Linked DNA regions of Macaca fascicularis. The protein of the gene in region 5 interacts with the protein of the main gene of each other region in a biochemical or structural test. Links are inferred from orthologs where the notes say so. Each region holds a gene or a part of one and is shown on either strand. Other genes may lie near its edges. The genes, in order: LRRK2, GADD45B, MAPK8IP2, MAP3K11 and MAP2K7.

Evidence for each region.
Region 1: of the proteins of MAP2K7 (region 5) and LRRK2, one has a biochemical effect on the other in vitro, tested with the Homo sapiens proteins (2 studies listed by BioGRID). The link is inferred for Macaca fascicularis from reciprocal best matches to the Homo sapiens genes MAP2K7 and LRRK2.
Region 2: the proteins of MAP2K7 (region 5) and GADD45B form a complex in vitro, tested with the Homo sapiens proteins (2 studies listed by BioGRID and IntAct). The link is inferred for Macaca fascicularis from reciprocal best matches to the Homo sapiens genes MAP2K7 and GADD45B.
Region 3: the proteins of MAP2K7 (region 5) and MAPK8IP2 form a complex in vitro, tested with the Homo sapiens proteins (2 studies listed by BioGRID). The link is inferred for Macaca fascicularis from reciprocal best matches to the Homo sapiens genes MAP2K7 and MAPK8IP2.
Region 4: of the proteins of MAP2K7 (region 5) and MAP3K11, one has a biochemical effect on the other in vitro, tested with the Homo sapiens proteins (2 studies listed by BioGRID). The link is inferred for Macaca fascicularis from reciprocal best matches to the Homo sapiens genes MAP2K7 and MAP3K11.

Annotation. Positions count from the first base shown.
Region 1 is NC_088385.1:46,793,765-46,797,277, forward strand, and holds part of LRRK2 (leucine-rich repeat serine/threonine-protein kinase 2), read left to right. Parts: intron 1-2,207; coding exon 2,208-2,409; intron 2,410-3,448; coding exon 3,449-3,513. UniProt on the Homo sapiens protein: Serine/threonine-protein kinase which phosphorylates a broad range of proteins involved in multiple processes such as neuronal plasticity, innate immunity, autophagy, and vesicle trafficking.
Region 2 is NC_088393.1:3,130,536-3,134,582, forward strand, and holds GADD45B (growth arrest and DNA damage-inducible protein GADD45 beta), read left to right. Parts: upstream 1-1,407; 5' UTR 1,408-1,639; coding exon 1,640-1,683; intron 1,684-1,809; coding exon 1,810-1,911; intron 1,912-2,310; coding exon 2,311-2,533; intron 2,534-2,772; coding exon 2,773-2,886; 3' UTR 2,887-3,544; downstream 3,545-4,047.
Region 3 is NC_088384.1:951,053-954,565, reverse strand, and holds part of MAPK8IP2 (C-Jun-amino-terminal kinase-interacting protein 2), read left to right. Parts: intron 1-39; coding exon 40-1,266; intron 1,267-1,580; coding exon 1,581-1,656; intron 1,657-1,774; coding exon 1,775-1,947; intron 1,948-2,036; coding exon 2,037-2,146; intron 2,147-2,902; coding exon 2,903-3,010; intron 3,011-3,165; coding exon 3,166-3,236; intron 3,237-3,513. UniProt on the Homo sapiens protein: The JNK-interacting protein (JIP) group of scaffold proteins selectively mediates JNK signaling by aggregating specific components of the MAPK cascade to form a functional JNK signaling module.
Region 4 is NC_088388.1:8,754,842-8,758,891, forward strand, and holds the start of MAP3K11 (mitogen-activated protein kinase kinase kinase 11), read left to right. Parts: upstream 1-1,243; 5' UTR 1,244-1,705; coding exon 1,706-2,444; intron 2,445-4,050. UniProt on the Homo sapiens protein: Activates the JUN N-terminal pathway. Required for serum-stimulated cell proliferation and for mitogen and cytokine activation of MAPK14 (p38), MAPK3 (ERK) and MAPK8 (JNK1) through phosphorylation and activation of MAP2K4/MKK4 and MAP2K7/MKK7.
Region 5 is NC_088393.1:8,620,708-8,624,220, forward strand, and holds part of MAP2K7 (dual specificity mitogen-activated protein kinase kinase 7), read left to right. Parts: intron 1-2,916; coding exon 2,917-3,058; intron 3,059-3,222; coding exon 3,223-3,289; intron 3,290-3,418; coding exon 3,419-3,513. UniProt on the Homo sapiens protein: Dual specificity protein kinase which acts as an essential component of the MAP kinase signal transduction pathway. Essential component of the stress-activated protein kinase/c-Jun N-terminal kinase (SAP/JNK) signaling pathway.

The DNA.
Region 1 (3,513 bases), on a different chromosome or scaffold from region 5:
TTTGTATGTTCGTGTCCTTCAGCACACATTTATTATAGTTATTAAAAGGTTTTATTGATGATAGACAGTAATGTCATGTAAAAATGACATTATTTATTTGTAGATTTTCCTATTCTCTTGTTGGACATGTAATTAGAAAGTAATATGACTTAAAGAAAAACAAATACACAAAATTTATTCATCCAGTTAATCTCTTAATCGAGGTTTTTTTTTTTTTTTTCTGAGACTATACCCATACTTCAAAAACTTTGTTGTTACTGAGAATATTTTGATAATTTCCCTTTTCGTCATTGCTGTCAGATAATGTATCATATCTTTAAAAAGACTTGTTGGAGGACGAGTTTGTTTTGAAAAGGCCTGAATTTAGTTGATGCAAAGTCACAGATAAGATGGCTCATTAAGCTGTATTAATACTGCTTTTGTCTAATAGATATCATTACCAATAAATCAGACCAGATTTCCTTTTGGCACTTGTAAATCAACTTTGAAGACAACTTTTTACAAGGAAGTAAAACAAATGCTTTGAGAAATACCAGTATTAGTGAAAGAAAAGTATATATTGCTAATGGATGCAGCATTCTGGCATAATGGTTTGAAAACTCATTTGATTGCTTTGTAGAAGAGTGACTCTTTCGGAGGACCCAGGGCCTGTGGGCCTGCCAGAACTTGAAAATTCTTTCTTCCCTGAGGTGCTTCAACCTGAATTCAAAGAGCAGCTTTTAATCTATTAGAGATCTTTTTTTGTCCTCTCATTTATTTTTCATCTTTCCCTTTGATCTTAGCTCTTCTCTAATCTTTTTCTGTCTCAACCTTATTAACATGTGTCTGTGCAGACACTTTAAGTTTTATTTTTTTGACTCAGCCTGTCAGTGAACTGATTATCATGCTGAAAGGAGAAGCAGGACAATACAGAGTTGAATGCCGACAATACTCCTTTTAATCTTGTTCAGCCCATTAGCAGAGCAGGCATCCCTTTAGGCTTTGAGACCTAGTCCCCTAAAACTCATCCCGTTTCTACTTGATTTGCTTTCTTTGAGAACTCTTGTTTACTTTTATATGGAGGTTTCCCTCCTTGGATTAAAACATAAACCTCAATCTGAAGTTCCATTTCATCTTAATTTATGAACAACTCTGAGAGGGAACATGAAAAGTGGAGATTAGTGAAATTATCTCCAATTCTCTGGGTCAAAAGATACACGAAAACAGTCTCTTGAGTAACCATTTACAGGTAAATACAGAAGTAATGGTTATGGTTGTCTCCTTAAGGTTTTAGTCACAAATGAAAAAGACCAAGTTAATTTTTTGTCTCTGTGTGCTGAATTTCTGTTTGTAGTAAGTGTAAGAATTTAAGCAGAAATGCTGTTTCTTATTTTCAGGTGAAAAGAATATGTAATTTCCATAGGCCCAGAAATAGGGAGAGTTTGCCATCTGGTGGTTCTTAAAGGCATTGCGGATGTTATTAAGAGTTGCTTTTCTATTTAAAATTATATTTTAAAAAATGTTTGGAAGATACTTTTATTATAGAAACTATCCTCTTAAGCCCATTCTTTAAAAAATCTTCTTTTATGCATTTCTCATTTTGTAGACAGTGATTAGATTCTAAAAGCAACAGAACAATGATCATCCTCTCCTAGCAGAATCACTGGTGTTTAGATGATTTCTCATTTTCCCAAATACTCCATGAACAACATAGCTTGAGTGGGATCTTATGTCTCCAGGTTTCACTGTTGATATATGCATCCCATCAATATAACATTTTACAAATAACAAGCACAAAATTTAATGTTTTACCTTGAATATTTAAAATATAATATCCAAAAGCTCTTGTAATTTGTACTGATATCTTATGCTAGCGTGTCTGTTTCACATTAAGTTTAATGTCTTAAGATATAAAAAATCTTTCTTATGGTTAGTGATTTATCTTGATTTTTGCCATGGAATTTCTGTGTAGCAAGATAAACATTTCCATACCATTTTATTTGATATTTCCTAATTTGCCTCTGGATCAACAGTTTTCCTATTTTAATTTCATTGTACTTATTCCTTACAATCTAAATAGCTTTTTATTATATTTTGATTTTATTTAAAAATGTACTTCTGAATAACATATCTGTTTCTGTAAAAACTGTTAGCACTGAATTTGCCAACCATTTGACACATACACGAATAAAATAGATTTTTACGGCTTGTCATTTGTAATTTCATAGATCCGAGATCAGCCTGTTGTTGGACAGCTGATTCCAGACTGCTATGTAGAACTTGAGAAAATCATTTTATCGGAGCGTAAAAATGTGCCAATTGAATTTCCTGTAATTGACCAGAAACGATTATTACAACTAGTGAGAGAAAATCAGTTGCAGTTAGATGAAAATGAGCTTCCTCACGCAGTTCACTTTCTAAATGAATCAGGTTTGTGTGTTTCTTTCCTTACTTTCAAAGCTCAGCTGTAATAACTTATAAAAGTGTTTCTGAATCTTGTATAGAATTTACATTCAAAGCTGAGAGAATATCCATACAGTTCTTTAATAGGGCACTGATTTTTTTCTTTTTGGAGGATCATCATGTGTGTGGATGATAAATCATGTATCATGTTGTAAGAAAACAAATTTAGAAATCACCTAGGAGTAAAGTAGTGGAAAGATTCCCTGAGTGGGAGTTAAAATATTTGGGTTCTAGAACTTACTTGTACTATTCAGGAGCTGTGGAACCCCAAGCACAACCATATCCTTCCATAATGTCAAATGAGTTTAGTGCATGTGAAACTTATTTTTATATTGCAAAGGGGAATTATTGTTGGAATGGTCTAACTGGGACGCTTTGAGAATCAATGGCTCCCTGAGATGATGCAGCTGCTGAGTGGAAGATCTAGCTCTCTTTCATCAAATATTGGTCTCAAAGATGAAAATTCTCAAACCAACTTCAGTGCTAATTGTGTACTTGATCATATTACTTTGCCAGAAATGTGTGAGTTGTTTGATAGTACTAGAGTAAGTGACTGGGAAGCTGCTTTTGATCCCTAGATTCTGTTGTGTGAAAAATAGCTTCCTGTGGTTTATGATCTGTTCCTTTTCCCCATTGTTCTTAAGGTATGCTGAAATATGCTGTGTTTCTTATCTGTATTTGAAAATAAAACATGTCTTTGTAGTGTTTATTCAGCAAGCAAAACAGAAAATTATGAATTTCTATGTATGCATGAAATATGCTTTGTAATGCATGTCAGTGTCTCAAATATGTTTATATATGATTGTTTTATGTAGTTTAAAAATACTCCATTATAATATTGGGACTTTAGACCATAGGATGCACAGCTTCTAGTCCCAGCTCTGCCACTAGGTATGCTGAAATTTCTTTACCTGTAAAATGAGGAAGTTGGACTAGATTCTTTCTAAAGCCCCTTGATAGTTGTTCTACATTCCATGTTTCACTGTTTGATGAATTTTTACTACAGGAGTCCTTCTTCATTTTCAAGACCCAGCACTGCAGTTAAGTGACTTGTATTTTGTGGAACCCAAG
Region 2 (4,047 bases), about 5.5 Mb from region 5:
CCGCCGCGCCTCGCAGCCCCGGGACATTTCGTGCCCCAGCGGTGGGCGGCGCGGAGAAGGCGGGATGCGTCAGCTGGGCTCGCGGGCCGGGGAGCCGGGGAACCGGGGAAACCGAGCCGCAGGGCCGAGGCCAGAACCCAGGCTGGCGGGGGAGGGGACTCAGACGTGAGTCACCCGGGAGCCCCCAGTCGACCGTGGGAGACGTTGTCATGCGGGGCCTGCCCGCCTCGTTCCTAAGCAGCCTTCCTGGGGCGGCGGAGTCCTGCAGGCGGCCGTGCCTGGCGCACAGGCGTGGCTCCAACACGAACTAGCCTGTGGCCTCACCAAGCCTCAGTTTACCCTTTTGCATAATGCACATAAGCATCCCCCCTGCTTCTCAGGTCTTGGATTAAATCATCCATGAATCGGGAGGGGTGGAGGGTGCCAGATCCGCACCACGCTCAGTGCAGGTCAGCGCCCACCCCGGAGTGAGAAATAAAGGTGGCCGTCATCCTTGCACGTGGGCCTGGGGTAGCGGCGTGCAGCCGCAGCCTGCACCATTCCCCCCAACAATGGCTTTCTCCTCGGCCTGGAGGCCTCCGCACGCGCAAAGCCTGGAACGCCAGGCAGCTGGCGGGGGCGGGGCCACGCCACCTGCACCTCCCACGCGCGCCCCACCCTGAAACTCGCGGGGTCGGCGAGGGGGCGCCCGCTTTCTTCTCCAGAGTGCCCCGGGCTTTGCAACCTCCCACTTTCGGGGCCCTGGAGGAGGCCTCCCGCGACCACCAGGTGACAGATGATGTGTATTGAGCGCTTACTGTCAGCCGTATTTTATGTGATGCTCTGCAAACCAGCGAGGCCGGCGCTGCAGCCCCATTACTCAGACAGGAATATAGAGGCCGGGAAAAGCGAAATCACCCAGGGGCTGGGGTCGCCGCAGCCAGGAGAGACTCCGGTCATCACCACCACCTGGGCGAGATCAGGCTGCGAACGGGGCCCTTTCCCGGTGCAGCCCCTCCACCCCCAGCAGAACTTGGGAAAGGAGCAGTCCGGGACTCTCCGCGCAGCGGGAGGGGATTCCAGGCCCCCCCCCGGCGAAAGTCCGGGCCGCCTCGCGCGCTGGAAATCCCGCGCGCGCCCCGAACCGCGGCTCGGCTGCCGGGAAATCAGGAGAAAAAAACTTCTGCTTTTTTTTTTCTTTTCTGGCATTCGCGGTCACCTACCCGGCCCCCGCGCGCCCTCCTCCCGGTTCTCGCCCCCACGTGGGGCGCCCCCACACGGCGCTCCGCCCCCTCGCCGCCGTCGGCCAACCGCAGAGCTGTCTGCACTCTCCGTTGTCCTTCCACCAATAGGAGGGTTGAATGACTCCACTGAGGCCTCGCCCCAGCCGTCAAGTCTATAAAAGTCGGTGCCGGAGGCTCCCGGCTCAGATCGCCGAGGCTTCGGACTACGGTTGGTTTCTGCAACTTCCCGGATTATTTTCGCCAAGGACTTTGCAACATTTTTTTCCGCCTTTTCTGGAAGGATTTCGCTGCTTCCCGAAGGTCTTGGACGAGCGCTCCAGCTCCGTGGGAAGGTTTTGGGCTCTCTGGCGCGGATTTTGCAATTTCTCCCTGGGGACTGTCGTGGAGCCGCGTCCACTGTGGATTATAATTGCAACATGACGCTGGAAGAGCTCGTGGCGTGCGACAACGCGGCGCAGAAGTAAGTAGCCGGGACCGCCGCCGTCTGAGGTTGGCCGGGACGGGATGGGTCGGGTTGGGCCGGGCCGGGAGCGGAATGTAGCACCCGGTGGTCCGCCCGTCACTGATCCCTCTCTCCTGGCCTCAGGATGCAGACGGTGACCGCCGCGGTGGAGGAGCTGTTGGTGGCCGCTCAGCGCCAGGATCGCCTCACAGTGGGGGTGTACGAGTCGGCCAAGTTGATGAATGTGTGAGTCAGACCCCCTCCCCGGGCCGGGCGCGGGTGGGACGGGACCTCCCCTCCGCTCTGGACGCTTTCCACACGCTTGTCTCGCATGGGGCTGGGACTTCCCCAAGTGCCACCCGCTGTGGATGCAGAGCTCCTCTGCTGTTTTGTGGATTGGGGGCTGCCGTATCCTGATGCATCGTCTGCAAGCGCCCCTCCCGCTGTGGGCCTGTCTCCCCACACCCCACACTTTGAACCGTGTGCCTTCCCCGCCCCCCACCGTCACCAGCTTGCAGAGGCAATCCCCTGCACCCCTGCAGTTTCTCTTTTGCTCTTGCACGCTCCTTTTTTTGCAAACTCCCCCTGCACGGTGGCCTCTCCCCTGTTCCCGGCTGACCCACCCCTTCCCTTTGGCCCCCTCAGGGACCCAGACAGCGTGGTCCTCTGCCTCTTGGCCATTGACGAGGAGGAGGAGGATGACATCGCCCTGCAAATCCACTTCACGCTCATCCAGTCCTTCTGCTGCGACAACGACATTAACATCATGCGGGTGTCGGGCATGCAGCGCCTGGCACAGCTCCTGGGAGAGCCGGCCGAGACCCAGGGCACCACTGAGGCCCGAGACCTGCATTGTCTCCTGGTCACGGTGAGTTGGGCCTCTGCCCTGACCTGCCACGCCCGGGCACCTGGGCTGGTGTTTGTCAACAAAGTCGGGCTGACTGGTCCTGCACAGCTCAGGGTTCAACCATGCTTGGCATGTCCCGTGGGCAGCCGGGCTGGGGCCTCCTCACCCAGGGAGCTATTTTGAGCCTGCCTGTTTTCCCCACACATGGGGCCCTGGGAGAGGGAGGCTCCCACTAAACCCTTTCTTTTCCCCTCCCACAGAACCCTCACACGGACGCCTGGAAGAGCCACGGCTTGGTGGAGGTAGCCAGCTACTGCGAAGAAAGCCGGGGCAACAACCAGTGGGTGCCCTACATCTCTCTTCAGGAACGCTGAGGCCCTTCCCAGCAGCAGAACCTGTTGAGTTGCTGCCAAAAACAAAAAATAAAATAAATATTTGAACCCCCCTCCCCCCCAGCACAACCCCCCCAAAACAACCCAACCCACGAAACCATCGGGGGCAGAGTCGTTGGAGACTGAAGAGGAGGAGGAGGAGGAGAAGGGGAGTGAGTGGCCGCCCCCAGGGCGGAGATCGGGGAGCTGGCGGCCGCCGATCCGATGGAGGAGAAGTGGGGACCCAGGCCAGCAGGAGACAGGACCCCGGAGCTCAGGCCTTGGGATGGAGCAGAAGCTGGAGGGGCGGGGCACGCTGCCGCCTTCCCTATCATGGAAGGTCCAGACTCTCCACTTGAGGGTGGAGTGAGACTGACTGCAACCCCCACCCTCCTTGAGACTGGAGCTGGCGTCTGCAGACTAGAGACCTGGTTGAACTTGGTTGGTGCTTGTCTGCACCCTCGACAAGACCACACTTTGGGACTTGGGAGCTGGGGCCGAAGTTGCTCTGTACCCATGAACTCCCAGTTTGCGAATCATAGAGACAATCTATTTTGTTACTTGCACTTGTTACTCGAACCACTGAGAGCGAGATGGGAAGCACAGATATCTATATTTTTATTTCTACTCTGATGACCTTGTAATAAATTTCTAAAGCTTCTGGGTGCTTGTATGTTTTCGGCTTCTGAGAACAACCGGGACCCCTGCCCCCTCCCCTGGGACACGCTTCACACCCCCCCTCCCCACCTCTCCTCCGCAACCCCTGCCAGCTCACCAGGAAGTGTTACTCAAGCCCCTGTTAGCAGCTCCAGGCTCCCGTGCAAAACAGTACCTCTTCTCTGCAGCAGGCGCCTCCACCGACTCCAACAAATCTATGCCTCTTTTTTTTTTTTTTTTTCCTCTCCTCCTACCCTGTAGCAATTAAGAGACCGGTTTATTACGAAACCTGGCCGCCGTGCCACCGCTGTTACTGGCTGTGCAGGAGCCAGCCCTAAGCTCTGGGCACATATGGAGGCATTTCGGCGGGAGGGGGTGCTGGCTGCAGCCCCTGACCGCCCCGGCGGCCGCCACCGCAGCCCAAGGTCCAGAGCGGTCAATGGGGCACCTGGGACCACACAGCGAGGTGAGCTCAGGACTTGCAAGGAAGAGCTCCTTTGGAGGATT
Region 3 (3,513 bases), on a different chromosome or scaffold from region 5:
GGATGGTGCAGAGAGGGTGACCCCCACCTCCCTGCCCAGCAGAGCCCCCGGGCCCCCTCCCTCCCACGGACACAGGGCCTGGCGGGACGCAGTCGCCAGTGCGCCCGGGTTGCGACTGCGAAGGGAACCGGCCTGCGGAACCCCCGGCGCCAGGGGGGACTTCGCCCTCCTCAGATCCCGGCATCGAGGCTGACCTGAGAAGCCGCTCGAGCGGGGGCCACGGGGGACGTCGCAGCAGCCAGGAGCTGTCCTCGCCCGGCTCCGACTCAGAGGACGCGGGCGGCGCGCGCCTAGGGCGCATGATCTCGTCCATCTCGGAGACGGAGCTGGAGCTGAGCAGCGACGGCGGAAGCAGCAGCAGCGGCCGCTCCTCGCACCTCACCAACTCCATCGAGGAGGCCTCGTCGCCCGCCTCGGAGCCGGAGCCCCCGCGCGAACCCCCGCGCCGCCCCGCCTTCCTGCCCGTGGGTCCCGACGACACCAACAGCGAGTACGAGTCGGGGTCGGAGTCGGAGCCGGACCTCAGCGAGGACGCGGACTCGCCCTGGCTGCTCAGCAACCTGGTGAGCCGCATGATCTCCGAGGGCTCCTCGCCCATCCGCTGCCCCGGCCAGTGCCTGTCTCCGGCGCCGCGCCCGCCCGGGGAGCCCGTGTCGCCGGCCGGCGGGGCTGCCCAGGACTCCCAGGACCCCGAGGCGGCCGCGGGGCCCGGCGACGTGGAGCTGGTGGACATGGAGACGCTGTGCGCGCCGCCGCCGCCTGCGCCCGCCGCGCCTCGACCCGGCCCCGCGCAGCCCGGGCCCTGCCTGTTCCTCAGCAACCCCACGCGTGACACCATCACGCCGCTGTGGGCCGCGCCCGGCCGCGCTGCCCGCCCGGGCCGAGCCTGCTCCGCCGCCTGCTCTGAGGAGGAGGACGAAGAGGACGACGAGGAAGAGGAGGATGCCGAGGACAGTGCGGGGCCCCCCGGGGGCAGGGGCACGGACCCCTCGGCGCCGCGGGACGCCTCGCTGGTGTATGACGCGGTCAAGTACACGCTGGTGGTGGACGAGCATACGCAGCTGGAGCTGGTGAGCCTGCGGCGCTGCGCCGGGCTGGGCCACGACAGCGAAGAGGACAGCAGCGGGGAGGCCAGCGAGGAGGAGGTGGGCGCAGCGCTGCTAGGCGGTGGTCAGGTCCCGGGGGACACCTCGCCGGACAGCCCTGACCTCACTTTCTCCAAGAAGTTCCTCAATGTCTTCGTCAACAGCACATCCCGGTCCTCCAGTGAGTGACAGGCAGGGAAAAGGGGGGTGACCCAGAGGAACATGCGGAGTCCCTGGCCCCAGTCCCAGGCTCCCCCACAGTGCCCGGGGCCACCTGAGGGTCTGGCCATGGTCAGGGCTGGGCGCCCTCTCCCATCCAGGACATGGCATGAGGTGGCCTGCTCTGCCTCAGCCCCTTCCTGCTCCCAGGACACCCACACCGGCCTGCAGAGGGGACTCCACCTCTGCCCGAGGCCAGGCCTCTAAACATTCCTTCCCCTACTCTGCCTCTCTGTATCCCTGTCTTCCCCACCTCTGTCCCATCTGGTCTCCCAGGCACCGAGTCCTTTGGCCTTTTCTCCTGTCTGGTCAACGGTGAGGAGCGAGAGCAGACCCACAGGGCTGTGTTCAGGTACAGCCTCCCTCCTTGCTGGCGGTGGCCCCAGCCTCAGTCCGTGCCATCCCAGGACGCCAATGGACACGACCCTCAATCCCGCCCCCCTCCCCAGTGACCTCTCCCCCAACGGCAGGTTCATCCCGCGGCATCCAGACGAACTGGAGCTGGACGTGGATGACCCCGTGTTGGTGGAGGCCGAGGAGGATGACTTCTGGTTCCGTGGCTTCAACATGCGTACGGGGGAGCGCGGTGTGTTCCCTGCCTTCTACGCCCATGCGGTTCCCGGCCCTGCCAAGGACCTGCTGGGTGAGGTCCCAACCCCGAGGGGTGGCGTGTCACCCCAGATCCTCCCCTAGGCCCCTGCCTGACCTGGGCCCTCTGTGCCCCCTCCCCAGGGAGCAAGCGGAGTCCCTGCTGGGTGGAGCGCTTTGATGTGCAGTTCCTGGGCTCTGTGGAGGTGCCCTGCCACCAGGGCAATGGCATCCTGTGTGCGGCCATGCAGAAGGTCAGTGTGGAGGCCGGGCAAGTGCAAGCTGAGGGTTCGCATGGTGGCCCCACCAGCACTGCAGGCTGGCACAGGGCCTTGAGGCTCCAAGGCGTCTGATTTCCTCCAGGGAGGGTGTGAGGGATGCTGCAGGGGTAGCTCTGGATGGGTACCCCAGGCCCTGGTTCAGAGGCCTGAGCAGGTGAGTCTAGGGCAGAGCTCAGCAGCTGTCCCTCATTACTTCTGGGTCTCTGGGCCACAGATCTTCCAGTTGGCCCCGAGTGCCATCAGCCCTTCCTCTTCCTGTCTGGAATCAAGACCAGCCCTCACAGCCCCTTCCCTGGGAGCCCCCTACTCATCCACTCACTCAGTAGACGTTTAGTGCGCGCCTGCCCATGCACCAGTACTGAGACTGAGGCTGGGGGGCGGTAGGGAGCAGGGCAGAGCAGCCCTGCCTCTGAGAGCTCCCTGGAGCTTGTAGGGCCAGGCAGTGAAGAGGCCAGGGTGGGTGGGGTCTGTGTTCCTGGCTCCTGAGCCCAGAGCAGCACCCTGCCTGGAGGAGCAGAAGGAAGATGAAGCACGCTGACTGCTTCCCCTGAGCCTGAGGAGTGGCCAAGGCCACTCCCTTATGTCTTCCAGAATTGCATCTCAGGAGTCCTCAGCATGCATGTCCTCAAACATAAGCTAAAAGGAGCAGAGGCGTACGTAGTCCCACCAAGGGGAAAGAAAGATGCCCTTGTGGGCCCCTCAGGACCCTCTTCTCCCCCAACTTCTTAGATTGCCACTGCCCGGAAACTGACTGTCCACCTGCGCCCTCCTGCCTCCTGTGACCTCGAGATCTCTCTTCGGGGGGTCAAGCTGAGTCTGAGCGGAGGAGGGCCCGAGGTGGGGGCTTGGGGGACTGGGGACAGGGGACGGGGGGGTACGGTTAAGCCACGGAGTCAGACGGGGCCAGGCTGGCAGGGGTGTCAGGCAGGCGGGAGGCAGGGGTGGCCCCAGGCTTCCTCTAACACGGGGGCTTCTGCCCACCTCTGCTGTAGTTCCAGCGCTGCAGCCATTTCTTCCAGATGAAGAACATCTCCTTCTGCGGCTGCCACCCCCGAAACAGCTGGTAAGATTCCAACCATCCCCGAGTCCCCACAAACCCGCAACTCCCCGAGTCCCCCAACTGCCCCCGAGTTCCCCAACCACCCCACAAACGCTGAGAGTCCAACCACCCCCGGAGTCCCCACAAACCCTGAGGGCTGCCTAACCATCCCCCAAGTCCCCACAAACCCTGAGGGCTGCCTAACCATCCCCCAAGTCCCCACAGACCCTGAGGGCCGCTCGTGCCCAACCCTGAGAGCTCCACCTGCACCCACTTGGCTCTCTGAGCTGAGTGTGCAGTG
Region 4 (4,050 bases), on a different chromosome or scaffold from region 5:
TTCTGCACTACCGAAGCACGCCCCTCTCGGTCCGCCCCCTTTAATGCTGGACCTCCTACGTCCTGATCGTTTCTCGTCTCCCAGCGGCGTCTACTTCCGGGTCAGAGCTCAGACCTAGGGTGTAGAGAACAACCTTCCGGAACAGGCAGGAATAGTCGAAAAAGGATAGCGTCGTCTTTCTTAAAGTGACAGGCTTAAAGCAATTGGGGCAGCCCTATCCAGAGGTTCTGAGGGCGACTCAGCTATTCTGAATCCAATCGTGGGCAAAGTTCTGGACAAGTCTCAGGATTCTGCCAATGGGGAAGGGATATGAAGAAGCGGATTGTTTCCCAGGTGAGGAGAAGAGCAGAACCTTAGACAATCCACTCCAAGAGCTTGAGGTGCAGCCAGTTCCGTCTGTCCTCCAGTCTTCCCCACCCCATCCCACTAGCTCTGCGAGGCAGAGCTTTCTTGTACTCATATCATATATGAAAAGAATGGCCGGGCGCGGTGGCTCACGCCTGTAATCCCAGCACTTTGGGAGGTCGAGGCGGGCGGATCACGAGGTCAGGGGTTTGAGACCAGCATGGTCAACGTGGTGAAACCCATCTCTACCAAAAATACAAAAATTAGCCGGCCGTGGTGCCACGCGCCGGTAGTCCCAGCTACTCGGGAGGCTGAGGCAGGAGAATCGCTTGAACCCGGGAGGCAGAGGTTGCAGTGAGCTTAGACTGCGCCATTGCATACCAGCCTGGGTGACAGAGAAAGGACTCCGTCTCAAAAAAAGAAAAAAGAAAGAAAGAAAGAAAATAATGAGGCTCAGAATGGATGGATCGCACAGTCCCACAACTTCGCAGCCAACACCAGACTTGGGTTCACCCCCTTCCCAAGTGTGGTTCTGTAACCCCGTTTTGCTGACGCCAGTGCGGATGCAGAGGACAGAGATGGCCCATCCTTAGCAGAGACCAACCTGCACCCTGGCCAGCAGAGCACGCAGCTGGAGGCTTTTCTTTCTATATCTCAAAGCCTGCTGTGATGGGGAATCTGGTTCTGCCCTTTCCCTCCTCTGCCTCTCCTGGCCCGCCTACCCGGGAACTCCCCTGCTGGAGCCTCTGGGAGGGGAGCGGTGCAGGCCGCCCGCGTCATCTGATGCTGTTTCCTGCAGGAGGGAGAAGAGCGGAAAAAAGTGAAACTCCACCCTCCACCTCTGCCTCCCGCCCCCGAGGCCAAAGTACAAAGGGAGGAGGAAGAAGGGAGCGGGGTCGGAGCCGTCGGGGACCAAAGGAGCCAGGGACAGGAACAGGCAGTCTGGGCCCAACTGTGGACGCTCCCTCCACCCCCGCGCAAAAAGACCCAACCGGAGTTGAGGCGCTGCCCCTGGAGGCCCCACCTTACGCTGGGCGGGGGCCGGAGCCAGGCTCCCAGGACTGCTCCAGGACCGAGGGAAGCTCGGGCCCCTCCAAGCTAGCCATGGTGAGGCGTCGGAGGCCCCGGGGCCCCACCCCCCCGGCCTGACCACACTGCCCTGGGTGCCCTCCTCCAGAAGCCCGAGATGCGGGGGGCCGGGAGGCGACACTCCTGGCTCCCCAGAGAGGCGTGGGTCTGGGGCTGAGGGCCAGGGCCCGGATGCCCAGGTTCCGGGACTAGGGCCTCGGCAGCCAGCGGGGGTGGGGACCACGGGCACCCAGAGAAGGTCCTCCACACATCCCAACGCCGGCTCCCGGCCATGGAGCCCTTGAAGAGCCTCTTCCTCAAGAGCCCTCTAGGGTCATGGAATGGCAGTGGCAGCGGGGGTGGTGGGGGCAGTGGAGGAGGCCGGCCTGAGGGGTCTCCAAAGGCAGCGGGTTATGCCAACCCGGTGTGGACAGCCCTGTTCGACTACGAGCCCAGTGGGCAGGACGAGCTGGCCCTGAGGAAGGGTGACCGTGTGGAGGTGCTGTCCCGGGACGCAGCCATCTCAGGAGACGAGGGCTGGTGGGCAGGCCAGGTGGGTGGCCAGGTGGGCATCTTCCCATCCAACTATGTGTCTCGGGGTGGCGGCCCGCCCCCCTGCGAGGTGGCCAGCTTCCAGGAGCTGCGGCTGGAGGAGGTGATCGGCATTGGAGGCTTCGGCAAGGTGTACCGGGGCAGCTGGCGAGGTGAGCTGGTGGCTGTGAAGGCAGCTCGCCAGGACCCCGATGAGGACATCAGTGTGACAGCTGAGAGTGTTCGCCAGGAGGCCCGGCTCTTCGCCATGCTAGCACACCCCAACATCATTGCCCTCAAGGCTGTGTGCCTGGAGGAGCCCAACCTGTGCCTGGTGATGGAGTATGCAGCTGGTGGACCCCTCAGCCGAGCTCTGGCAGGGCGGCGCGTGCCTCCCCATGTGCTGGTTAACTGGGCTGTGCAGATTGCCCGTGGGATGCACTACCTGCACTGCGAGGCCCTGGTGCCCGTCATCCATCGCGACCTCAAGTCCAACAACAGTGAGTTTCTGGCGGCCTGGTTGCGGGTGGCATGGCTCTGGCACACACCTGCTCCCAACCTTCCACTGAGCCTAGCTTAGGGTCTGCTGCAGGTAGGAGCACTCGCCCTAGGGGGTCCCAGCTGACCAGGTGCCCATGGGCTCAAGCTAGCCCCCAAACAGAGCTCCAGGCACCCAGAAGAGTCTTCCTGTCCCAGCCTCAGAAGTCCTTGGCCCCAGCCTGCAGCTGAGGTTTGGACAAGTTAAGAAATTGGGATTTCTCAGGTGGGCCATAAGCATCCTGCCCAGCTCTGCCTCCCACCTCAAGGAAGTCCTCTGGAAGCTCGCGCTCCCCATCTTCTCCTCCCCTAAATTCATATTCGTAGACTTGGTGCTCTGTCCTCTCCTGTCATCATGGGCAGCTCCTCCAGAACAGATATCTCAGAGGGAGAAGCCCTCCTTGGCAGTCAAGGCCAAGGCCAGGGCTGGAATTCTGGCCTAGCCCTCCCTGGCTGCATGACCTCTAGCTCGTTACTCAAACTCGGAGCCTCAATTTCAGACTCTGTAAAAAGGGAGAGTGAAACAGCTCAACAGCCTGGGCAAGCCTGACCTGCGATCCCCAACCCGCAGCGGGTGTTCAGCCATGGAGATGGACATTTGAGGGCTGGATCACCAAGAGGGCCTAGCCTGCAATCAGTGCTTGGGGTGGGAGTGCTGGGCTAAGGGAGACTCCATCTCCCACCATTTTAAGCCCCCAACACGCTTTCCATCACGGCCCAAGAGAAGCAAGTGGTAGCTTCAGAGGGCTTCCTGGTGCGCGCAGCATTTAGAGAGCGAAGGCATGGAAGCAGGACCTAGCACACAGCAGGGACCAGGAGCAGGGGCCTCCTAGAGCCCAGGGTGCAGGCTGGAGAGCAGCAGTAGGAAATGCAGGAGGGGCCAGGCTCAGTGGGGTCACTGGAAAAGCATGAGACATTCTTAGAGGGGGGTCCATGTGGATATTTTGAGCCTCCTGGCCTGGGCTGACCATGGACAAGGGGCTTGCAGGAAACAGAGTGCTGAGCCCCAGATATCCAAGTTCTTGCCAGGGCTGGAGGAGCCAGGGGAGGCCTGCCAACCACCCCACCCACTCTTCTCATCCCTTGTAAGGTGCAGTTCCCACCTCTCAGCCTCAACCCTGGGCTCTATCTAGGGACCCCCACTACCTGCCCCAATCTGAGGGGGATTCCCTGAAGGCGCAGGGGGAGGGGACTCCCATCTTCTGTTTTTCCTCCGTTTTCTTTCCAGAAAAAATGGAACAATAGCCCAGGCCCCTGCTCCCCACCCTCCCCACTGCTTCCTGCGTTTCCTGCTGCCCTGAGCCGGCTTCCTGTCCCTGCTCCAGCCCCTGCTCCCTCCCTAGCCCAGCTGCCTGCAGGGGAGGAAAGAGCTGGGGGTGGAGGGCTTGCGGGAGGAAGGAGCCTGGAACTGCTGCCCCACTCCCCTCTAGTTCCCCTGCTTCCCTCTCAGAGTCTGGGAGTTGGTGGTAAAGGGCAGGCAAGGTGCCCTCAGCCTCCCTGAGCCTGGCATTTAACCTCGGAGACCCCAGTCTTAGGCCCAAGTTGCTGTCTGCGGGATTGGGGTGGGGG
Region 5 (3,513 bases):
GACCCCAACATAGAGAAACCCCGTCTCCACTGAAAATACAAATCAGGCGGGCATGGTGGCGCATGCCTGTAATCCCAGCTACTCGGGAGACCGAGGCAGGAGAATAGCTTGAACCCGGGAGGCGGAGGTTGCAGTGAGCCGAGATCACTCCATTGCACTCCAGCCTGGGCAGCAAGAGTGAAACTCCATCTAAAAAAAAAAAAACATAAAAGAGATTAGGTGGAAGTTGCAGTGAACTCAGGTCGTGCCACTGCACTCCAGCCTGGGCAACAGAGCAAGACTCCGTCTCAAAACAAAACCAAAAAAATGTAAAAAGCGTCTTGAAGGAGGTGGGGGGAGAGAAGACAGCCCTGCCCGAGCTCTGAGCGTAGTGCCAGCCTGTGGTGGGCATGCAGGCTGTGCCCCATGCCCGTGTTGGGAGAGGGAGTAGATGAGGTGCCTGGCCCTGTGAGTGACTGTGAGTGTGTGTGTGTCCGATGGGCAATGGGGACTCTGTCCCAGCTGCATGGGTGTTGGGTCCACAGCGGCACGCCCCGCGTGTGTGTTGTGCTTGTGTGCACTTGCACGGCGTGTGTGTGCATGTTGACATGGCAGCCTGCACACCTGTGGCTCCTGTCAGCAGACACGTGCCCTCCAGCCTCTCGCTCTCTCTCATCCATTCTTTCTCTCTCATCCTCACCCTCTTGCTGTCACTCCACCCTCCTGAGCTGCCATGTGGCCATCGCCACCTCTGTGGCCTCTGTTCTCAGGGCCTTTGTGTACCTCCTTCCCCCAGTGCCTACCTGAGCCCTCCCTTCCGTTCCCCCGTGCTCCAGTCTGTAGGCCAGCAGCCTCCTCCCCAGGCTCTGGGGCTGCCCTCAGAAGGCCTGGTGGGCTGTGCCGGGGAGGGGGCCCACAGGACTCCTCGAGGGCTGTGGTCCTCACCCCCTGAGTGCAGGGCGGGAGTGGGACTCAGATACTCTCTGAGGGCGGGAACCACGCAGTATCTCAAGAGACACCAGGTGCACAGGGGTTGGGGGCTGGGTGTGAGGGGAGCACAGGCCCTCGGGAGCCAGAAGAGGATCGGGGCTGTGGCTCAGGCCATGGACAGAGCAGAGGCACAAGGACCTGAAGAAGCAGAGGGGGGAACCTGGCCAACGCAGCGAGATCCCGTCTCTACTAAAAAGACAAAGATTAGTTGGGCATGGTGGCGTGTGCCTATAATCCCAGCTACTCAGGAGGCTGAGGCAGGAGAATCACTTGAACCTGGGAGGTGGAGGTTGCAGTGAGTTGAGATCACGCCATTGCACTCCAGCCTGGGCGACAGAGTGAGAACCTATCTCGGAAAAAAAAGGAAAAAAAAGCACCAGTGGGAGGTGACATGGTGCTGCGGAGGCTGCAGTGGCCAGGACAGCGGGAGGGGCACGGGAGGTGAGGCCTCTAGGCCAGTTAGGAAAGCTGGGCCTGACTGTGTCCCCAGGTCCCCGGAGCCCTTCCCCAGCTCCTGCCTGGTCCTCCAGGAGGGGAGCAAGGGGACACAGCTCCTGCAGGGGCTGGTGGGACCAGGTAGGGGCAGTGCTGGGCCTCCTGATTGAGACTGAGGTCAGCGTCCTCCTGCCTCTCCTACTGGCTGAGATCAGGGTCCCAGGCACCCAGGGGAGGGACGGGGTTTAGCTGCCAGCGTGGAGCGGGTCTGTCTGTTCGTGTTAGTCCCTGGGCACCAGTCACCAGGAGCCTGCAGAACTGTGGGAAGAAAAGGTGGACGGGGCAGGAGGAAGAGAGGGGGTTGTCCGTTGAGGGCTTTGGGAGAGCGGCAGGCCCCAGCCCCTGTGGGAGGGGCACCTTGGGAGGTGTGTGCAGCTGTTGTCAGGGCCTCTGGGATGGGAGGTGTCAGGATTGGCTCCTCTGGAGGCCACGTTGGCATCCCGGCCTCTGTTCCTGCACCCCATCGCCAGCCCAGCCAGGGAGACCCTAGCTCCTCCAGGAAGCTGCCCTCCTGTCCCAGGCCCCTCTCTGGCCTGTCTGTGCAGTGCCTCCTCTGGGCACCTGGGCCCAAGTCTTGGTTCCTGTCTGTCTGTCTGTCTCCTGCCCTCCCACCCCTAATGCTGCCTGCCTGCCCCAGGGTGCCCGCCGCCTGCCCGCCGCCTGCCCGCCCGCTGTAGCATGCCCGAGCTGCCCGCATGCAGGCTGCTGGATGAGCCAACCCCTGCCTGGCCCAGCATTGGCCCCACCTGGTCCCGCCAGCCCCTGCAGGAGCTGTGCCCCCCAACTCTCCTCCCAGATGATGCAGGCCCCCTGAGGTCCTGTCCTGCCCCCACGGGCCCCAGCTCTGCAGGCCAGGCCGGGAGGCCCCCGTGTCAGCCCACTGGCCCGAGGGGGCCCTCCCGAACCCGGAACAGAACATGGGGCAAGGCAGCCTGAAACCTGGGTCTCGTGCCCACTGCCTCCCCAGGGTGGCCCCGCTCGCTCTCGTCTGGGAGCCAAGTTTAGTGCTACCAGCAGGGCCACAGCCCGGGCCAGCCCTGGCAGGCACTCCACCCCCGCCTATCCAGCCTGTGGGCGCTGTGGTCCTGGGCCTGCTTCCTGGGCAGAAGTGGGAGGAAGCGCCCACACCTGTCATGGAGGCTGCCTGGCCGAGGGACACCTCAGGTCCCCGTCTCATTTCTCCGTCAGCGTAGACTTGGGGCTCCCTCTCCCCTGCCAGCCTCTTCCATTTCTTTCCACGTCAGGGGATGAGACAAGGGACCCTGAGGACAGTCTGGGGTGGGAGGGAGACCCCAGCTCCTCCAGCCCAGCAGGGCAGGGGCTGTGCCGGCCTAGCTAGGGAAGCCCAGGAGGGGAAGGTGAGGGTCCCGACCTCTCCCTGGAGTGCCAGATGTGGAGCTGAGACCAGCTGGGTGCTGACCCCTCCCCTGCCACTGGTTCTCACCCCCCCAGCCCTGCAGCTCCCGCTGGCCAACGATGGGGGCAGCCGCTCGCCATCCTCGGAGAGCTCCCCGCAGCACCCCACGCCCCCCGCCCGGCCCCGCCACATGCTGGGGCTCCCGTCAACCCTGTTCACGCCTCGAAGCATGGAGAGGTGAGCCAGGGGCCCGGCAGGGTTGGGTGGGAAGCAGCATTGAGGGGCCACCGTGCCAGCCTCGGGGAGGGCGGTTAAACCGGTGAGAACCCCGGTATGGGGGGCTGGGGTGGCCAACCTAAGGTCAGGACCCACCTCCACCGGCACCTGCTCCTTGTCCCCAGCATTGAGATTGACCAGAAGCTGCAGGAGATCATGAAGCAGACGGGCTACCTGACCATCGGGGGCCAGGTACCACCTTCACTGTGGCGGGAGAGGGAGGAGGCCCAGCCAGGCTGGACCCATCCTGGGGGTGCCAGTGGGGGGCGGGGGGCGGTGACAGAGGCCCCGGGGACCCTCCAACCCTCCCTCTCCTCCCAGCGCTACCAGGCAGAAATCAATGACCTGGAGAACTTGGGTGAGATGGGCAGCGGCACCTGCGGCCAGGTGTGGAAGATGCGCTTCCGGAAGACCGG